Linked DNA regions of Sus scrofa. The protein of the gene in region 1 purifies or fractionates together with the protein of each later gene. This does not show direct contact. Links are inferred from orthologs where the notes say so. Each region holds a gene or a part of one and is shown on either strand. Other genes may lie near its edges.

Evidence for each region.
Region 2: the proteins of CXXC1 (region 1) and BOD1 purify together in Homo sapiens (affinity purification with mass spectrometry; 4 studies listed by BioGRID and IntAct, counting the BioPlex papers as one, with this or other methods). This does not show direct contact. The link is inferred for Sus scrofa from reciprocal best matches to the Homo sapiens genes CXXC1 and BOD1.

The regions. Positions count from the first base shown.
Region 1 is NC_010443.5:99,935,083-99,945,985, forward strand, and holds the start of CXXC1 (CXXC-type zinc finger protein 1), read right to left. Parts: upstream 5,044-10,903; 5' UTR 4,811-5,043; coding exon 4,808-4,810; intron 4,010-4,807; coding exon 3,891-4,009; intron 3,787-3,890; coding exon 3,686-3,786; intron 3,375-3,685; coding exon 3,139-3,374; intron 3,048-3,138; coding exon 2,853-3,047; intron 2,465-2,852; coding exon 2,438-2,464; intron 2,362-2,437; coding exon 2,116-2,361; intron 1,948-2,115; coding exon 1,840-1,947; intron 1,708-1,839; coding exon 1,523-1,707; intron 1,218-1,522; coding exon 1,010-1,217; intron 931-1,009; coding exon 820-930; intron 692-819; coding exon 642-691; intron 500-641; coding exon 403-499; intron 90-402; coding exon 1-89. UniProt on the Homo sapiens protein: Transcriptional activator that exhibits a unique DNA binding specificity for CpG unmethylated motifs with a preference for CpGG.
Region 2 is NC_010458.4:50,737,579-50,747,465, forward strand, and holds the end of BOD1 (biorientation of chromosomes in cell division protein 1), read left to right. Parts: intron 1-919; coding exon 920-1,044; intron 1,045-3,876; coding exon 3,877-4,072; 3' UTR 4,073-4,073; exon of another isoform or gene 4,074-4,144; intron 4,145-5,044; 3' UTR 5,045-5,839; downstream 5,840-9,887. UniProt on the Homo sapiens protein: Required for proper chromosome biorientation through the detection or correction of syntelic attachments in mitotic spindles.

The DNA.
Region 1 (10,903 bases):
CACTGGCGCTTGGGCAGGCGGCAGAAGTCACCTGTGAGCTCAAAGACGTCCCGAACCAGGGGACAACCACATACCTCATCAGCTGGCACCTGCGGGGAGATGGGGGTGGGGAGGTGGGAAGGAGGCAGGAGTGGGGAGTGGTCAGGGAGGAGGAAGAGGGAGTGGTGAGTTCGGGGGAAGGTGGGAAGGAATGCAAAGGGGAGGACAAGGATGAAGAGGCAGGATAAAGGGAGGAATAGGAGGTGATGCAACAGGCAGAGGAGAGGAATGAGGGTGAAGAGGACAGGGAGCTGTGAGTGGGGAGGCAGGCTACAGGGAAGGAAGGAGGGCGAGGAAGGGGTGACTATGGGGCAGGGAGGGAGGGAGGAAGAAGCAGATGGGAGAGTTGAGAGAAACCCTTACTTTGGGGTCCCGTGAGTGCTCAGGGCACAGCACTTGGAGCCGCTTACAGTACGTCTTGCTTTGAGGATTATAGACGTCACAGAAGAGGCGGGTGGCCCTGGTGGTGTGGAGCAGAGAAGGGAATTGTGGGAGCAGAGGGGGCACAACCTCCTTGCCCAAGCCCCACAACGTTCCACTTCTGACCCCAGCCCTAACACCCCCTGCTCCAAGCCCCACCCTCCAGCAGCGCCCACACTTACCCCTCGATGCGTGTGGGGTACATGGACCCAAAGGACGTCTGGCTCTCATACTGGAGGGGTGAGCACAAACGGAGGGAACTGTGGATGTATGCCGTGTGCCCCTGCGAGACGGCACATCTGTCCCCAGGGACCCAATGCTGTCCCCACACCGTCCGCCCCCTCAGGCCGACACCCTGACCTTGGCATAGCAGCGCTCCATGTGGCGCAAGGCAACTCGTGGGTTGATGGGGTGCCCGCAAGAGACGCAGAAGATCTGCAGGTCTGTGTCATCACTGTCACCCTCATTGCTCTGCACCGGGGAGAAGGGACGGTGAGGCCAGGCAGGACCTGGTACCAGGCCCCGAGCTGCTGTGCCCGTGCTTGCTTACCTCCTCATCTTCACGCACAGCCTGCTGCTTGGCACGCAGGATAATGGCCTCAAGCTCATGGAATCGGCGCTCCATCTCCTGAAGGCGGGTGCGGGCGCTCTGCTGCTCCCGGCGAATGCGCTCAAGCAGCTTCTTGCCATGCTCCTCAGCTATGCAGGGGCTCTGCTGCCACTGCTGGATGCGCTGGGGGAGGATCTCATAGATGCGGCTGCAGGGAGGCAGAGCATCGGTGCAGGCAGGGGAGAAGGCCAGCGACAAGGTGAGGAAGTGGACACCCAATGGGTGGGTGATGCAATGGGGAAGGGACAAGTAAATGGGTGACTGAATGGGAGATAGCTGGGTGGATGAGCAAATGGATGGATGGGTAAGTCACTGGATGGACAGGTGGGTGCCTGGTTGACTGAATGGTGGCAGGTGGCCAGGTGAGGTGACTGACTGGTCGGCATAAAGGGGGCTCTGGTCATGCCCTACTCTGTGCTCGCTGACCCCCTAAGCCCTCCAGGAATGACTCACTTGGCTGCCAGCTTCATGCCACAGTCGTCTGAGCAATACTTGGAGCCGGGCTGGGCAGGGCGCACACAGCCAGGCCCCAGGCACTGCGGTAGCGATGCTGGGTCCTTGGCATCAGCGCGCTCAGGGTGTTTCCATTTGTCCTTGTGCTTCTGCTTCTGCCGATGCCGCTTGTATCTTTCTTCTTTCTGTGGAGAAGACTGGTCGGGTCAGGGCAGAGCTGAAGTCAACCCCAGGTCCTGTCTCCCCCTACACCCCCACCCACCCCGCTTCCTGGTTCTCGGCCTCCCTCCCCACCCCAATTCCATTGCCTCCATCACCTTCTTGTCAGACTTTTTCTCCCGACGCTTCACATGCTTCACTTTCACGGCCCTCTTCCGAAGCGCGGGGTCCAGGAATGGGGACTCCTCCGTGTCACTCATCCAGGGCTGCAAGTGAGGCAGGCACTGATTCGCCTGCTCCACTCCTAACTTCCCCACCACCCACTCGGTCCCCAAATCAGCTTTCCATACCCTCTGCCTCCTCTCTCCTCATTATGGACATTCTCTGCTTCTGTAACCTCTACCCTTCCACCATGGGACGCTCTGCCTGCTCACCAGGCCATGGTCATCAAAGGCCCCTGCACAGAAGTCCTGGTACAGGTCAGGGTCCAGTGGGAGATCCTCGTCCGAGAGCGGCTCGGGCGTAGCCGTAGCCTCTGGTGGCTCCTTGACTGCCGAAGATGCCACTGCCCCCTCGTCCTCACGGATGCGCCCCAGCTTCTGCGATGGCTGTGGCTGCTGCTGGGTGGGCAGTGGCCGGCGAGGCCTTGGCAGGGACTCTGAGGGCGTCACTGGCGAGAGCTGCGGGGCAGAATCTCAGGACTGGCCCTGACCGCCCTGCCCGCATGCCCCGCCCGCCCTGGGGGGCTGGACTCACCGAGGAAGGGAAGTACTTGTACGATTCCTGTGCCGGCAGGAGGAAGGCCCAGGTCAGCCCCAGGTGGATGGAGGGTGGCCCTGCCCTTACCCTTTCCACAAGTGCTTGACCCCACCAACTCCCTAAACACACCTGCCCCCCCATCACTAGGACATGCTCAGCCCTGCCCCACCTGCCTTGACATGCTTGACCACCTGGAAACATCTGGTCCTACCCTGCCCAGCTGAGGTTGGGGGCTCCCCTGCTAGCCCAGCACACCTGGTTGCACCCCATTCATCAGGACAGGCCGGGCTCCTCCCCAGCTATCTGTATACAATTATGCCCCACCCCACCCAGCCCACCCGCCCTAGCCTTAATCATCTCTTTCTGAAGACAATGGCCCCCCCAGACCCTGCCCAGCCCTGCCCATGCTCACCCGGGCCCGAAGCTGGCACTGACGCAGCCGGCACTTCTGCCGGATCTTGTTGGGACCCCCGAACTTTTTCATGTCTCGGCAGAAGTCACAGTGGCCACAGTCCTCAGTGCGCCGGCAGGCCTCACACTCGCCACACATGCGGGCTGACCGTTTGATCTGCTGTTGTTGCTGCTGCTGCTGCTGCTGCTGGTGATGCTAGGACGAGGTGCCCAGAACAGAAATTAGGAACCAGAGCAGGGCCTGAGATAGGATCCCCTCACCTATTCCAGACATCAAAGCCACTCACCTGGCTGGGTGGGGCCACCAGGGGCTGTGGAGAGGATTTGTGGGGCGAGGCGGAGCCCCGGGCAAGCATGGCCCCAACCCCTGTCCCCGTCCCTGCCCGGCGCTGCAGGTCCGCTTCCGGGACAGGCCTCTTGCGCCCTCCACCCTCGTCCCGGGGCTCACTGCCATCTCGCTCGTTACTGTCCCGCTCCCGTGACTTCTTGTGCCGATAGCGGATCTCCAGCTTGGGATCCTTCTCTGTGGGACAGAGGATACAGCCAGCATGTGTTGGCACTGGGAGATATGGATGGTCCCAGAAGTCTTTCTTCCCCTTCTCTCCTCTTCTGTCCCACCCACCTGCTCTGTCTTCATACCCCCAGAAGAGCTGCCCCTGCCAGTGGGACTTTCTATCACAGCTCACAATGAAGCCTCCGTTCCAGCTCAGCACAACCAATAATCACTCTGTCCCCAGACACATATCACCGCTCCCCAGGACTCACCTTCCCATAAAGGCTCCTCCTCCTCCCTCGAAGCCCCACTTGCCTGCCCTGTCCATTCCACTCCCTCACCTCGGCACTCGCGACAATACCACTCCCGGATGGCCTTGGCCATCTTCTCAGTGATCCGGATGCAGTCCCCATGAAACCACTCATTGCAGTTGTCACACCCGCTGCAGAAAACAGGGTGAGTGATGGAGATGTGAGGGGTCCTGCCCCATCGGCCTCCCCGCAACCTGGCCAGGTGTCAATCCTGCCCACCTCTCCCCCAGCTCACATCATGAAGCAGTTGATGTCTGGTTTGCGGCAGATGCAGTAGATGGGCGCATTCTCCCCATTCTCTGACTTGCTGTCCTCCCCAGCATCTGGAGGTTCTGGGTCTGAAGCATCCCCCTCCTGTGGGATATCCCCACCATGGCTTCTTAGAGAACCCCCATCATGGCACCTCATCCCTCCAGTACAGTTCCATCAAGGTTCACCACAGACCCCAACACTCTGCCAATAGTCTCATCATGGCTCCTCATCAACCTCTCCACCATAGTCCCCACAGATCACCCCCATGACTCACTTCTGACACCCACTACTCTGCCCCAGACTTCCAATCACTCATCCCACTGATAGCCCATTACTCCACTCTCCCACTCTTGACGGCTAGTTACAAACAACCTACCACTCACCATATTTTGCCCTCCGACATGGCTCCCCACAAATCCCCACCACAGGGTCTCACAGACACCATATGATTTATTCCTCAGCCTTCCCACCTGGGTTCCCCTCAGATGCCCGGTTATTAACCTCGGAGACAGCCCCGCCCCCTGGGTCCCTCCACACGGACTCACACTGCTCACTCCAGACTGCCCAAGACAACTCTTCGCAAGCTTATCATCACTCCGCACAAAGAATCCCCCATCCGGACCCCCAAGGAACTACCACCACGGATCCCCCCTAAACTTCCATTACGGACCCTCATCACAGAACTCCCATGTGGCTTACGCATAAATAAAAAATCTGACCATCAGCCCCCCATCATTCTACCCACAGACTCCTGTTAAGGCTTACCACGGGCCCCCTCCATTCTGCCCAGAGACTCTTCTTACGGTTCACCAAAGACCCCCTATGCGTTTGCCCATGGAACCCGCCGCTTCCAACCCCACTGACCTCGACCGCCGACCCATCCTGGGACCTCGCACTCACCATTTCTCCGCTCCTGGCGAAGCCCCTCACAAACCCCGCCAGAGACCCGCGAACCTACACAGACCGCTCGGCGGCGTCCGCGGCCGTTGCAAAGGCGCCCACAAGCACTTCCGCTTTTAGACGCGCCTCCCAAGCAAGGTACTCCTATTGCGCAGGCCCAGTGCGTCCGCTCCGCGACAAACAAGCAAGTAGCACGCCTAAAAGCCCGGACTGTCTCTCAGGCGCCGCCATCTTGACTACTGAGACCGTACGGTGGCCGCGTCCATAAGTTCGCAAGCAACATGGCCACGCCTATATTTCGCTCTACCGAGGGCGCCGCCACCTTGTCTGCGGGTCCTGTCCGTACAGGACTGTTTGTACGGCCCAGACGTTTAGGCAATATGGTCGCGCCTACTGAGCGATTTCCAAGCAGACGCCGTCATCTTGAAATCCGATTCCGTAAGGTGGCAGAGTCCCTCCGTTCATAGGCAACACATGGCAGCGTCCTAAACGGCTTCTGAGAGGGCGCCGCCATCTTGGCGGTCGATTACGATGCCAGCAGCTGGTACTGTCTAGATGTTCGCAGGCGAAGGGGCAGCTTTGGCAACGTTACCCGATTGAGACGCTCTTATTCAGTCATTTTTCCCTTCCACATGTATTTTAATAATGGGCTCCAGGCATGCTGTGCTTTGCTTTGGGAAGGAAATCAGTCCTGTTGTTACGCCTCCCATATCACCTCTGATGGAAGAAAATTTCGCATATTGGGGACTAATGAAGCCAGCCGGGCTTATACCTGATTTGTCCTGAACTTTATGTGAACTAGAACAGTCAAACATACCTTGTATTTTGCTTTAACCATTATATAAAGAATGTCCACTTTTACAGTAGGGAGAAATGCCTCCCTTCCTATGACACCAATGCTAGATCTTCTTGGAGATTAAAGTACCTGTTCCAGATGTCAAGGTAACGCTCGCTGTCTGTCTATATGCTAATTTGTAACTAGGGTCTGTTGAAACCTTGAAGAAAGGTACCCCTGTCGTGTTTGATGTATTCTCTTTGTTCTGACAGGGTATGAAACTGTGCTGAAAACCATGCTTCTCTGGAGCCCTTACTTCCTTGGTGGAGGCTGCACTCCTGCCCCAGTCCGCAGCTTGGCTCAAATAAAACTCTCTTCAGCGTTCCCTGCTGGCTCAGAGGGTTAAGGATCTGGTGTTGTCACAGCAGCTGCCCTGAGTCGCTGTAGCGGCACAGATTCACTCCCTGGCCAGGGAACTTCCACGTGCCACAATCATAACAACAGCTCTTCTGTTCCTTAGTATAGTTTATTGATTATCTCTGTTGACTCTTCCCACCACTCTTTCCAGCTGTCACTCCTCCTATCAGATGTTAGCCAGGCTTAGCAAGATTAAGCCTCTGGGCCTCTGCAGCAGCCCTCATCCCTCAGAATTAGTCCAGAGAAACCACAGACTGGCAGTAAATGATGATGACCTGACCATGTGTGGTGAGAATGGATGGACCAAAAATTTTAAAGGCTTCATCAAGTCTTCCCCTGACCCTGTGTGACCAGACACAATGAGTTTGTCACTTGGGGTGCTTCACTGATGAACACACCAAGAACTTTCAGTTAAACCGGAAGCATTTATTTCTTATTACTTATGACAAGTAAGGAGACAGGAGATAGCCCTCAAAGCTCTGTCTCCATGGGGGATTTTTAAGCCTAGGAGTAGGCATGATCCTTGTAATAGGCAGAGGTTGCTCTAGGTTGCCCAAAGCTTCAAGCAAGTCTGTTCTTGATTACTTGTTCTCACTGTAGTATCTTGTTTACTAGAATGCATCCTAGCCTTCTTGGAACATCTGGTGTCTGGAACTTTCTGAAACTTAATGGTTAGTTTCTGCAAACCAAACACACTTGGGTTTAACTCTATCCTTTCCCTACTGCTGCATAGCTAACACTGGTGACCACCAGAGTGTAGATTTGCCCAATTCCTGGTGATGTCCACTTCAGTTCTCTTGTTTCATATATGATACAGTGTTCTCTCCTATAAAGTTAATTTTTAATTTTTTAAAAAATGGAAGTGTGTATAATAAAAAAAATCTGCAGATCAGAGAGCTAGGCATCTCCTCAGGGTAATGATGTAATGATCTAACCTGGGCAACCATGGAAATCAAGTGAGATTAAAAAAATGTCAGTACACCCTCCCCTTACCCCACCACTGGATGGGAAAGTTGTGGTCATTGTAAATGGCCACATGTTCACATTCAAAGTCAAAAGTGACTTTGTTGGTTTTGGGTTGAGGAGAGAGAGGTCTGGGAAAAATTAGATTTTTTTTAAGCTTGGCTGAGAATTTTTTTTCTGGATTTCTTGACTCTGGACATAGTAACTTACAGCAACTTGTTTGGTACTCATTTAGATCTGATTTTTTTTCACCTTTCCTAAGAGTTTTTACTTGTGGTCCCCTCAACACAGTCGCAGACACAAAGACACAGGGGCTACAACATGGGTATCTGTGACCCTCTCCTCCTCCCAAAACGGGTTTTTAACCCACTAAACAGAGACTTTCACATCCAGCATAAGACTTGCCTTATTTTTATGTATTAACATTGAATTAATCTTAATTGATTGTAACTTAATTAATATCATTTAATTTTTAATTTAGTTTTTCATTTAATGTATTAACATTTGTATAATTGAATATGTGTTGGAAGGTACTTAGATAAATTTATTTATTTATTTGGCCACAGACATGGCATGTGGAAGTTCCCAGGTCAGGGATTAAACACACGCCGCTGCAGTGACAACACCAATCCTTAACCCACTACACCATAAGAAAACTCTCAAGATAAATTTACTTTAACATCAATTAATGAATATTATATAATTTAATTTTAACTTAATTACAATTTGTTGTATGAAAGTAAGCTTAAGGGAATATTGTTAGAACAGCGGGGGGAAAAAGGAGGCAATGAGATTGCAAGCAGGGTTTATTGACCAACAGAGCAGTCGGGAGCTCTGACTAGCAAGACTCAGAGAGTGCTGGGTTTTTTATAGACAAGGGTTGTTTTGTTGAGCCATGTAGTCTTTGGCCTTGGGGCTATCTTTGTCTTTGGGAGTTCATTTGTTACATGGGCCTGTTCAATAAGAAGGAGGCTGCAAGTCTGGATTTGGCTGGGTTTTGCTGATTTTTTTGTTCTTTTAGGCCTTGTTTCATTTCCCACATAAGATTCCTCCCTGTTCTTAATAGGAAAATGGGTGATGTTCTTTTCTTCTGTAGCTTCTTCCTGTTGTCACTTAGGGGGTGGAGGAGATGCAAGGAATTTGGTGGTACCTGTAGGTCCTTAAGGCCAGCATGGAGTTGACCCATTTGTCTGTGATCGATTCAATGGTTTTCTGTAAAAAAGAAAATATATGAAACAGAGGTGTCCACCTATTAGGAGAAGAAAAATAAAGACGAGATTTGTAGGAAAAGGATCTAGCCAGGAGAGTAGGGAGGAGGTAGAAGGCCAGAAATTTTGAGTTCCTTGTTGCTGGAACCAAATTGCTTGTTTTCTTAAACGTTTTATGTCTTCTCTGACTAGTCCTGACATATTTTTATAAAAGCAGCAACTTTCTTTTAAGGCTTCACAAATCCCACCTTCTTTTTGTCCAGGCCTTGGTGTTTTTGGTTTTTGTTTTTTGGGTTTTTTTTGAGCCTTGTTTTAGAGTGCGTTTGAAGTCAGTAGTTCTCTCTATAAGCCAGTTCAATGTAGAGGCCCTTAAGTGAGAAATGTGAATTTAAGAGTTAATTTTTTTTTTCTTTCTTTGTGTATATGGCACTAAGAATTCCTGGTAAGAAACCTTTTATCTAGGCTGGAGACAGACCTTTATTTTATTTTTTATTTTTAAATTTTTTTTTGCCTTTTTGCCTTCTTGCCTTTTCTAGACCCACTCCCGCGGCATGTGGAGATTCCCAGGCTAGGGGTCTAATCAGAGCTGTAGCCACCGGCCTACGCCAGAGCCACAGCAACGCAGGATCCAAGCTGCGTCTGCAACCTGCACCACAGCTCACGGCAATGCCGGATCCTTAACCCACTGAGCAAGGCCAGGGATCAAACCCGAAACCTCATGGTTCCTAGTCAGATTCGTTAACCACTGCGCCACGATGGGAACTCCACAATAAGGTATTATACTTAATGTTGATAACTCTAAAAACATGTCTGTATTAATTAGATCAACAAACTAGCTTTAACACAATATATTAATTTAATACTGAGTATTTCCCAGTTCGCATGAACCTAAAATTAATTCTGGCCAGTTAGTTCCCTTTTATATTTTGAGAATTTACATATGTGCTTAATTTAGTAGGACTCATTTATATTTAAAGGGGGATAAAAGAGTTTGTTATTTTGAGAAGAGCCACCACTTTTTGGGGTGAGAATTGGGACTCTGGGGGCAGGGAAGGGGAGGATAAATAGAGGGAGGATTAACAGAGGGGGACAAAGAAGGTGTAGGGGCTACAGGGGCAGGTGGATAAGGGGTAAGGGGAGCTGTGGGAGCAGGGGGAAGGGAGGGAGCTTCCTGATAAGAGTTGATCAGGGGAGCTAAGGTATGTCTATAGGGTCAGAGTCTGAGGTAGAAGACAGATGAGGGGGTGTTTCTGTCTTAGTTTGTGGGGAGGGTGAGATGAGAGGAGGAGGTTGTTTGTTTAGTAAAGAACCTGGCATGAGCTGCAAGTGGAACAAAAAGAGGGTCAGGATCTTAGATAAATAAAGGATTGAAGATATAGAACCTCCAACCATTTCCCATTTTGTTGGAGAAAATTTTCAAGATTGCATTAAATTTGGAAATCAAATGTACCAGGCCATTGGCTTCTGTTATCTAGTTTATATTGATGCCAGGCCACATTGCAGAAAAATATGAGGTGCTTGGGTTTAACGTCTGGGCAAAGTCCCAGCATTGAAAGGTGGTGGAGAAGATGCCTGAGAAGTGTATCTTGTGGGGGCTGAGAGGAGTTGGTGCCCATAGCATTAATTTGGGAGTACAGGTTTTGGAGTAAGGGGTTAAAAGCCCACCTAGGCCCTCTGAGAAGCATTCTCCTGAGAGGGCTTAGGATCTGAAGGAGAAAAACCACCAAGACATTCAGAGGGGTGTTGCCCTGTGAAGTCCAGGGTCTGAACGTGAATGAGGATTGCCCCTGATCAGGAAAAGTCTTTCCAGAGGAGGGGGAGCATGCAAATGGCCCCTGAGGCCAGATGAGACCCAGATGACTAGGTGCCTAGATTTGTTGGTGAGGAGAGGAAAAATGGGAAATGAGATCAGACCGGGTATGCGAATGAGAGAGAGAGAAGAGAGAGAGAGAGAGAGAGAACCCCAATCCTCTACTCGCCTTCCACGCATTGTGAGTTGGAGGCTGGTGTGGGGCATGGTATGGCAAGAATCGTCAGAGGGTGCTTGCAATTTCAGAGCTCAGTCAGCCAAAAGCAAGGAAAAATGAGTTCTGGAAGACTGGGTTAGGGCGAGAGAGTATTTTCATTTCATCCATCTCCAGCCATCTCCCTTGCAGGAAATCCCAGGATAGGTGCTTCTTACAGGTCGATATAAACTCCCAACTAGGTCTTTTGGCTCAGCTGGGCCAAAAGTCATCAAGGGATAGTAACAGAACTGTGGATTGGGGCTCCACATTCCTTTTGGATCTGGGACATATCTCATTTACACACAGGCACTCTTAGGATGGGGAGGGAGAAGAGGTTGCAGGGGGTGGGTCAGAGAGGCTTCCACCCTTTCAGGCTGAAACTACTTGCCCTAGCACTTAGAGGGGCCTTCAGAATACCCCAGAGAGTAGCCCTAGCTGGCGTCTTCAATTGTCCCTTCAAGCCTGGAGTGTTTGTGGAGGCCTAGGGATTAAAAAGGGCCAGCACCAAGTATGTTAGAACGGTGGGGAAGAAGGAGGCAGGGGGTGCAGCAATGAGATTGCGAGCAGGCTTTATTGACCAACTGAGCAGTAGGGAGCTCTGAGCAAGCAAGACTCAGGCTCCCCCCACAGGGGAGTGCTTGGTTTTTTAAAGACAGGGGTTGTTTTGTTGAGCCTTGTAGTCTGTGGCCTTGGGTCTCTCTTTGTCTTTGGGAACTCATTCGTTACA
Region 2 (9,887 bases), on another chromosome or scaffold:
CAGCCTGGACTAGGGGTCCAAGCTGTGAGTTGGGGTTAGGAGTGTTGTACATGTACCTGTCCTAGGTCCCAGGCTAAAGGGACAGGGGGTGCAGAGGACATACACTCATCAGAAAATCACCAGAGTACAAGCCAAGGCAGACGACACAACCACATTTCGGACATCTTGTCGCTGCGACTCCATCAGCCAGAGCAAATCACACTGCTCAACACAACATCGCTGGGGTGGGAAGGATTCCGGAGTGAAGTATGAAACACCTGGTTTGGAGAAGAGCGGCTGATAGTGCCAGAAGATCTTGGCGCCTCAGAACATGCATTCCTTGTGTTTGCATGGATTCCTTGTGTTTATCAAGTTCCTTTCTGGTATTTGTTCTCCTGATCCCAGTTGGGTCTTGAACATTTGAGACCAGTTAAGTACCTCTCAGGCTCCTTTGGGGACTTGACTTTTGCTTCCTTTCAGCCTTTCCCACTGTCCATAGGCTTTGACTTTGGTCTGCATTCGGGAGTCATGCTGCGGTCTGGGTGGCCCTTCATTTTATGCTGCGGACCTGCCTGGTTAAGCAGGGCAGTTAATACTTGTTTTACAGATGGAAATACCTGAGACTCAGAGGTTGGCTGACTGTTAAGTCCTGAGAGCTCGTAAGCAGCAGAGCTGGGCTAGAGCCCATTTCCTTCAATTTGGAAGGTGTTTTGAAAAGTAAGTAGGGTCAAAAAATCGTGCCCACCCACCATAAAGTAGGCACACATGATGGTCGTTACTTCATGCTCTGCCACGCTGCACGGTGATCATGGACACAGTGGAATTGTTTTTAAGGACTTGAAATTCTGTGTTGCTATGAAAAGCAATGTTCTGAATGACTAATTTCCAAAACTTTGGTTCATGTAAGTCCTGACCTTGCCCCTTCTTTTTACTATTTTAGCCAGCTTACCAAAACCTGAGGCAGAAAGTGGATAATTTTGTGTCAACACACCTGGACAAGCAGGAATGGAATCCTACGATGAACAAAAACCAGTTGCGAAATGGTCTGCGGCAGAGTGTGGTTCAGTAAGTAAGCAGAATTGAGAGCGAAAGGCAGTCATCACAGGCATGGCACACAGGAAGGCCGAGGCAAGTCACTGCTGGTCAAGGTATACGACACACAAGTTGCAGCAGACCCTTCCTTTATTAAAATTAAGACTGAAGTAAGCCAAAAACTCAATTGAAATTCTTTCTTCCTACATAGGCCTCCCATGTGCATCTCTACTGGGAAGGATGTTCCACATGAGGACACATTTCATGCTCTTTGACATTTTCGGTAGAGTCTGAACATACACTGGAGTTCATACCAACATATCAATGTTTGGGTCTTGGGCAAGCGTAGGTGGGTCTTTATTCTCACAAGTCAGCGTACATTATACAAGTTCTCTGAATCCATCTGGCCCCTGTAAAGTGTACTGGCAGCTTCCAGGAAGGCATGGAGTCTTACTAAAGTATGGCCTTCACAGAAGCAAACTGAACCTTAGTTAATGAGGTGCTACTGTCACGGGGCACAGAAGTGGAGGTAGCTGATGTCCTAAGATAAGATTTTTCTAATCTATTCAGAATCCTTTTTTGCTCTTAATATGCTTATGTGCAGACTTTCTTGATCTACTAATTCCTGAAATATCTAAAAGCTTGTGAGGCCTTCTTTAAAACAGAACTATCAAGGAACTGTGTTGAGTGGGGAAAAAAGAAATAGCCAATATCAAAAAGATAACATGGGGCATGATTTCATTTATATAACATTTGTGAACCACTGTAATTATAGAGATGGAGTAGATTAGTGATTCCCGGGGCTTGGGGCTGGGAGGGGGGCGGGTATGAGTGTGCCTAGAAAGAGGTAGCGTGAAGCGGGTGTGGGACAGGTGAGTACCTTAATCGTGGTGGTTACCTGAGGCTACTCATGTTCAAGTTGCACAGAGCTCCCCACACAGAGGCACACGAGTGCAGCTGTCACTGAGACGTAAATGAGGTCAGGATTGTACCTGTGCTGGTTTTTCCCCCTTTTTTGGGAAGTATAATTGACATACAGCATATTGATTTCAGGTATGATTAGTTTGAAACATACCAATTTGATATTTGTATGTATTTTGAAATGATCACCACAGTGAGTCTAGTTAACATTCATCAGCACACAGAGTTAATAGAATTTTTCCTTTTTCCTATGTCCCGGTTTTGATACTGTACTGCAGTTGTACAGAATGCAAACATTAGAGGTGGCTGGGTAAAGAGTACATGGACCTCCCTGTGTATTTCTTTGCAACTGTCTATGACTATATAATTTCAAAATAAAAAGGTTTTAAAAATAGAAAAAGATGTTTATTAGCAATCTGACACTTTCATGATGGTTGGTGAAATCTGAATCTTTTTAAACTAAAATTTGTAAATGCTCTTGGGGCTAGGAAACAAGCAAGCTACCGCAGGAAGCCCAGTACCTTGTCATTCTGAATTCATTATTCAGTGCCTTTCTGTTTCTCTAGGGAGCAGACTAGAGAAGGGGACAGTAGCTGCCACTTACTGAGCAACTATTTCATGGCTGGCATTGGTCCTTATTTGTTGCTAATCCTTAACACAAAAAAATATTTCTTCTTAAGCTTAAGTAACAGAGCAGAGGAAACTTAGCTACATGATATTTGTTCATTTCCTCTTCTGTTTTAGACTCCTAACAAGATTGTTTCCTCCAAACACTCTTAAAATCTCCAGAAGAGGAAGCTATACTCTTGGTACTTTGTTTTCCTTGATCAGGCTTTTCTCCCCCAGAAAAGACCCCTGTGACTCAAACCCTGGCAGCAGGGTAGTGGAGGCAGGAAGCCATTGACTTGTGACTAAGGAGGGGTGGCTCTGCTTCCCCACTGACCCATGTCCTGCTGCTGACCTCACTGGGTGCCACGGCGCTCATCTCTAAGGGCACACGCTGTCTACTGGGCTCTGCCTGGAAGTGCCCCTCTACTCTCATGGCGGCCTGTGTACATGTAGGCCTCCTCTTGCTAAGCTGTCAGTTAGCGCTGGATCTAGGGAGCATTTGATTCACCACTCAACCTAACCAGTCCAGAGCCTGCTTCTCGTTTCTCTTAAGTTATTTCCCTGGCTGTACCCTGACACACCATTTGCCCCATTACTGCAGGACCTACTTTTACCTCAGCAAACGCTTGAATGGCCTAAGAACTCAAGTCTGAAGGAAAGTAGGTAAAACCTGTCTACCACGTTTGTAACAGTATTTGAATATTGTAAGCCTTTAAAAAGAACAGTTTAGTTTGACCTGCAATTAACAGGTCAGTTAACTAAACAATTAACTAGACAAATGAATTTGGACTATTTTTTCCAAACTCTTCAAATGTGATTTGTTTCCTGTAACCATAATCTTCCTCACCACCCACCCTTGGTATTGGAATATAGGCATTTTGACTAATATATGCTCTTCAGAAAGGATTGGGGTTGTATTTTAGCCCTTTAGGAGCTGAGAACCAGTCTGTTTCTAGTCTGTGTACTTGTTTGCTTCCAAGTGGCCTAGTGTGTGTAACAGTGGTCCAGCTGAAGGCATTGTTGAATTGCTGGTGAAGCTGTACACGTTCCTAGCCCTGACTGAGCTGTGCTGCGTAAGCCTAAGAGGCAGTAGGCAGGTTGCTGCTGGAGGCTGCTTCTCCTGCCTTGACTCCTGGGAGGACAGATGTTGGAGGAAGCGGAGTCAGGCGGGAGGCTTTGCTGGTGCCATTGAGGTTTTCAGCCTCCCTGTGCCATCGGTTCTTTCCTACCAAGTCTTTGTTCTTTGTCTTTGGGATAGTTTTGTTCTGTTCTTTTGTACAAGGTTGGGGTGGGAGTGGGGGTTAAATAATGGAACGATCTGTTTGTCTCCTCAAGGTCAGGGATGTTGGAAGCTGGAGTGGACAGAATTATTTCCCAGGTGGTGGATCCCAAACTAAACCACATCTTCAGGCCACAGATAGAACGAGCAATTCATGAGTTCCTGGCAGCCCAGAAAAAAGAAGCTGTGCCAGCACCCCCTCCAGAGCCTGAAAGCCAGGACCCTCCAGCTCCATCCCAGGATGCCTCCTAAGGTCCAGTATCCATCTTTTGTCCAGGAGCATTCACCTCTGGCTTGTAGATATAGAAAATGGATAGAAAAGGGGTAAGCCATTACTGAGGATCATGTTTCTTATCTATTCAAAAAAGTTTTTACTGCAAATGGACTTCATTTTGTCATGAGTTATTTTTTACTAAGAACTAATTAGTAGCATTTTCCTGTGTCAGTGAGTAGTATGATTTTCTGTGTCAACAGAGCTGAACATTTAAGCTATGAATAGATGCTTCATTAGAAACCAGCTGGGATGATTGGTGTGCGGAAGGCAAATTCAGATGAAAATCTTGTTGTTCTGAAATTGCTTACATAAGTCTCTCCCCTGGGCATGAGTTAACTTGGGTTTACAATTTGAATATAAAAAAATCAAGCTGTGCATTCTAAAGCAGCATCCTAAATGGGCTTGGAGTCTGCATTGTGCACTGCTGGGTTGCCTTGTATTTAGTAAGGATTTCAATTTACCACCATCAGTTATCATGGGATTCTTCTGTTGTGAGCACTCTTTTCTTTTTCTTTCTCCCCATTACATTTGAAATGATAAAAATCAGCTGTAGATGTACAACACAATGCTTTTTGCAGGGGTTGGGAGACATTAATAAACATAAGCAGTGATTACTAAGTAAGCAGTGGTTGGTTTCTAGCCATTGTTGGTAACCATTAGGGAGTGCCTTATCCCCTCATTCTACCCTGGGGCTCTTTTTATGAGATTCTTCAAGGTGTCTGTTATTTTTGATAAATAAGATAAGTATCAGTGAGTGAACAAAACAAGAATATCAGGCTCGTGTGTGGCACTCAAGAGAGAAATTCTCTTTGTGCCTATATTAAAGGACCTCAGTTCCATTATGGAGTGTAAAGCATTCATTTCAGTCTTTCTAGTTTAATTTCAATTCCTTTTAGCACATAAACATAACACAAAACTAACATTTTGATATGATTATTTTTTCTTTTTAGAATATGCCTCACACATTTTGGAAGCTCCACTAAATTAGTGGTGAAGACCTGGATTCAGTGACATAAGAGTACGACTTTAGAATGAAGACAGGCCAAGGTCATCACTGACGTCAAGATCCAACCTGGATTGTGGGGCAGTGCCCAGACAGAATAGGGAACGAGTGTAGCAGTAGGAAAGTTGACACGTGTGCCCCCACAGTGTGCTGCCATCTGGCCAGTTTGTCTAAGCTGATGACACCCAGTAGACACTACAGATATATTAAGAAACACTACATCAACCTGGGGTTGTCCTGAAACAAACCTTTATACTTGAACTTGGAGACTGCGTGCAGATTTTAGGGTTTGTGCCTGGGGATAAGCAAACGTTACCAATGAAGGAACGGATCTAGTCCCAAGATGCAATTTCAAAGAATGACAGTAACGGTTAGTCAGGAGTGGGCATTTGACAGTGCTTATTTGATACTGTTTCTCAGAGTTGCAAGTTAGAGTGTATAAGCCTTTAGCATCAAGGAGCTTTGAGACTGCTGCGACCCTCTGGTACGTGACTCTTGTAGCTTCAGTTCCCTTTCCCCGGTAAGCGGTGTCAAAACGCGGACCCTAGAAATCATGGAGAAATGCAGGCTTAGGTGGAAGGAAAAACTTCTGCAGGTGCTCTGTGCAAGGCTTGCTTCTTCCTATCCTGCAAAGGCTAGTGAGTCCTAAGTGTGTGTATTTGATTCTCATGTATGTGTTTTTTAGAAGGTGAATAATCAATAAGTGGCTTAAGTTTTGTAATAAAACCATTTGATACTCTTACTCTGAAGCTTCAAATCATTCTTAGACTCCAGGTGTGCAGGGAAACCTTTTTCCTCGGCCTACGTGCCATTCCTGTGTACAGCACATGACACAATGACATTGAAGGATTGGTAGACACACCTTGGAATGACCATCATGAGTGTGGCCGGAAGTGGGCGAGACCTTCCTCACTTCCCCTGACCATTGCTGATGCTGGTCTTTAGTCGTGGGCAGTCTGCTCTGTCAGTGTTTCTCTCAAACTTGGGAGTTTGCAGAAGTATCACCAGAATCAAAGTGCATATTCTGATTCCGAAGCTCTAGGAGGACCTGAGAGTATTTCTGATAAGTTCCACAGGACCCCCAGCATTTTGCATCCCAAGCTTTAGAGGATAGCAAAACCGACTTCAAACCAAGAGTCTTTGGTTTTTAGTTGAGTCTCCTACTGGATATTGTTAACTCAAATTTTAACCTTAATGTTTAAATGTTCACCTTTCCCATCAACACCCATAATTTAGGGCTGCACTTCCATGGTTAGCAAAAGGTTCGGACAGCATGTATCCTCATTTTAAAGCAAGCCAGCCACATGTTTAGGGCAGGTAGCATTTCCTTCTAAAGGGTGTTCTTCCAGGTGAAAAAGGTTGCTGTCCTTTTTGGTTTGGGATTTAACAGGCAAGTCCTCAGTGCCCAGAAAAGGGCCCCTCCAGTCCTCTTCACTCTACTGATAGGTAAACATGGAATGACCAGTCTTACCAGTCCTATGCTTTGCAAAGAAGCTTCTCAGTCTAGTAGCCCCTCTTCAAGGCCTTCAAGGCGAAGTTCCTTCCCTGGGAAGCCTCTGCTCCAGGAGAGAGGTCTCAGCAGAGCCTCTTTCCGTCAATCCAGCCCCTCTAACACTGACCTCAACCCAGTGACAGAGGGTAGAATAGAGCAACCCAGAGAAGGCCTCATCCTTCTGCCCCCAAACGCCCAAGGGACCATGTTGTATATGCTTTCTGGCAGATAGTTTTTGGTCCATCTCTGTTCTCTTTCCATTACTAGAGAAGCTTGTACCAGTTGATAAGAAACGTCCTGATTTTCACAAAGTGGTAAATACGCCAAGTTACCAAGGAGTTTTGTTCTTCATTTTAGCCACTATTCTATCCACTAAGAGTCACTGTAGACTAGAGATAATTTTTTCAAATGAAATCATCAGATTACAGAAGTAACCAGACCCATCGCTACTGCAGGGACAGAGGACTGTCTTTGACTCTCAGCTGAGCCAGACTGAAATGAAAGTAGTGCCCATGTACCCTGGAGTAAGTGTAGTTAGATCGAGGCCAGGAAAGTGAGACCAGACAAACAACCCAAGGAGAGGCTGGTAAAACGACAGCCAGCTGTGGCCCCAACCATAAGAACCGGTCGCTCACCAAGCCTATCTGCATTCTTGACGGAGTCCTCAGGCTTGGGTATTGGATTAGGCAGGCAGAACCTAGAAAAATCTTGTGTGTTCTGAGGTAAAGAATTTCCCTGAGGAAGATCAGGCCACCAAAAATATCTCACCCCTAAACACTTGGCTATATTCATTCCTAAACAGGAAACTAGTTGCCCTGGACCTCAAAGCTTCTCCCTGGAGTTGGAAAAACCACTGCCATTTGCAAAAGCCTCATGAAGCACAGAACTGACCTCAGTAAGACATCAACAAATATGACCAATCTTTAGAAACCATCAAAGCCTGAGAGTCGCGATCACAGAAGAACCCCACGCTCGCTTTCGTAGTCCACTTCCTTCGCCTGGAGCAGCATCTACAATTGCTGCTGGAGACGGTTGCTCCCAGCATGTCTCCAGGTACCAGTCTAAATGCTCGACTGGTGTTGCCAGACCAAGAGGTCCACCCAGTCATGATGGTTTAACTCTTTTTTTTTTTTTTTTTTTTCTTTTTAGGGCCACACCCGCAGCATATGGAAATTCCCAGGCTAGGCGCCGAATCAGAACTGCAGCTGCCGGCCTACACCACAGCCACAGCAACGCAGAGTCTGCGCCACAACTGCGATCTACACTGCAGCTTATGGCAGCACCAGATCCTTAACCCACTGAGCAAGGCCAGGGATTGAACCTGAGTCTTCATGGATACTGGGTTCAGTCAGGTTCATTACCACTGAGCCACAATGGGAACTCCTCTCTCTTATTTTTTTCCTCCACTTACAGAAGTTTGTGACTCTTAGGTCACATTTTCAGGCACTGTTTTATCCTATTTCTGCCATTTACTCTTAGCTTCTATGTACTCCCAAGGGGCTGTAGAGGTCCATGCATTCTGTGTCACTCACTAGTGCTGTGGACTGAATAAATACTAGCAGGTTCATTACAGCAGGGCTTCTCTGAGCATAATCACCCGACCAGCAGCAGCATCACCCTGGAATTAGATGTGCAGCCCCAACCCCAGACCTATTGATTCAGAGACTTGGAGAGGGGGCCAACAAGCCTTCCAGATGATTCTGACACACACTAAAAATCATTTTCACTTTAGGAAACCTTTTTGGGAAGTCAGCGATGCTGACTGTAATGACAGTTGGATTGTGTTAATGGATAAACATAGTGTCTACATAGTGGATGAAATCAGTGTCTATTCTAATAGCTCCGGAAGGCGAGACTATGATCTCTTTTTTATTTTTTATTTTTATTTTTATTTCTCCTAATCATCTCATTAGTCCGTTGCAAGGACTGTGCATTTGGCCATTTTGGCTTAGAAATGTCTGCGTGTCGTTTACACCTCCTAAGCTTTCAAAAGCTATAAGCCGTCTTCTTAAGATGAGTTTGCTAAGCAACTCAGGATTTTGCCAGGAACCCTGCAGGAAGGCTGCCAGTGGCTACTAAAGATAGAGGAGCGATGTCTGGGGGGACTTAGCAAAGGTCAGGGCCTGGCTGTGCCCAAGGCTGGCACCGAGGTTTGGACTTGAAAATTGCGTCTGGATCAGCACTGGCTGGAGGCCAGGTACTGCCTCCTTGGCTGCCCAAAGGCTGCTGAGGACCGGGTGGGAAGCAGACAGGAAAGCTGGAGCAGACAGGCTTTCTTTGGCGCTGTGTATTGCACCCTGTCCATCACCTTACCCACGGAGGAGCCAAGAGGTCAGCTTTTATGGTCTTGTCACTGGGGATGGGCTCAGGTCCAAGGCCATGTGGTAGTAATTACCCAGCCTCTCAAATTGGTCACACAGCCTGAGACCTAGCTAGCCTTTCTGACTCCAGCCTCCAGGCTCCCATTTGGCCATCATTCTTGAAACACTGCTTTCATCAAGTATCTTCCTCATTCAACAAACCTTTGAAAGGAAGAAGTAAATGAACCAGGTGCTGTCAGGTGGCAGACATTATTTTATGCACAATTTCATGCGGTTCTCATGACCCTGTTAGGTAAGATCTACCCTCCCTTTTAAGGACGGATAAGGAAGGCAAAACTCAGGTGGAGCATTTACCCATCATGCAACTCTTAAGTAGGGAAGGAAGTCTGCAGCCAAGCCTCTCAGCAGTCAAAGCCCATAACTCCCCATCCCCCGCTTTGCTCCTTGGCCTCCCTATTATAAGAACCAGTTCAAGCTTGTCAGTCCTCTGGGGTCCACCCTTCATTCCAAAACGAAGGTAGGCCCAAATCAAATCAACCTGTACTTGACCTCGTACATCTCATCGCCCGCCCTTAGCTCTGGCCAGCCTTTGCTCCCCCTTCCCCTGCTCAAGGGTATGTCCCAGGGCAGTTTGCAAACTGGCAGGCTGCCCTGCTGTGCCCTCCACCTGTGTTCTGTCGGCTAAGGAGTTCTGACAGCTGTCTGTTGCTTTGTTTTCAATTAATTAGCACTTTTTTTAAAAGGGGAGATTTCTGTATAGAACGATATTGCTGGCTCCTAAAGGAAAACGGCAAAGTTTGGAAACACTTTTGTATTCCCACTGGATAACCACCAGGGCCAGTACGATAGCATCTCACCATTCCTGACAACATGCGGGACATGCAAATGCCACTGTCTGGCTTCACCCATTTCCATCGCCCTGCTGGGTCCCGAGGACATTTGAATTGGAAATACTTGCCCTAGAGGATCCTTGTCTT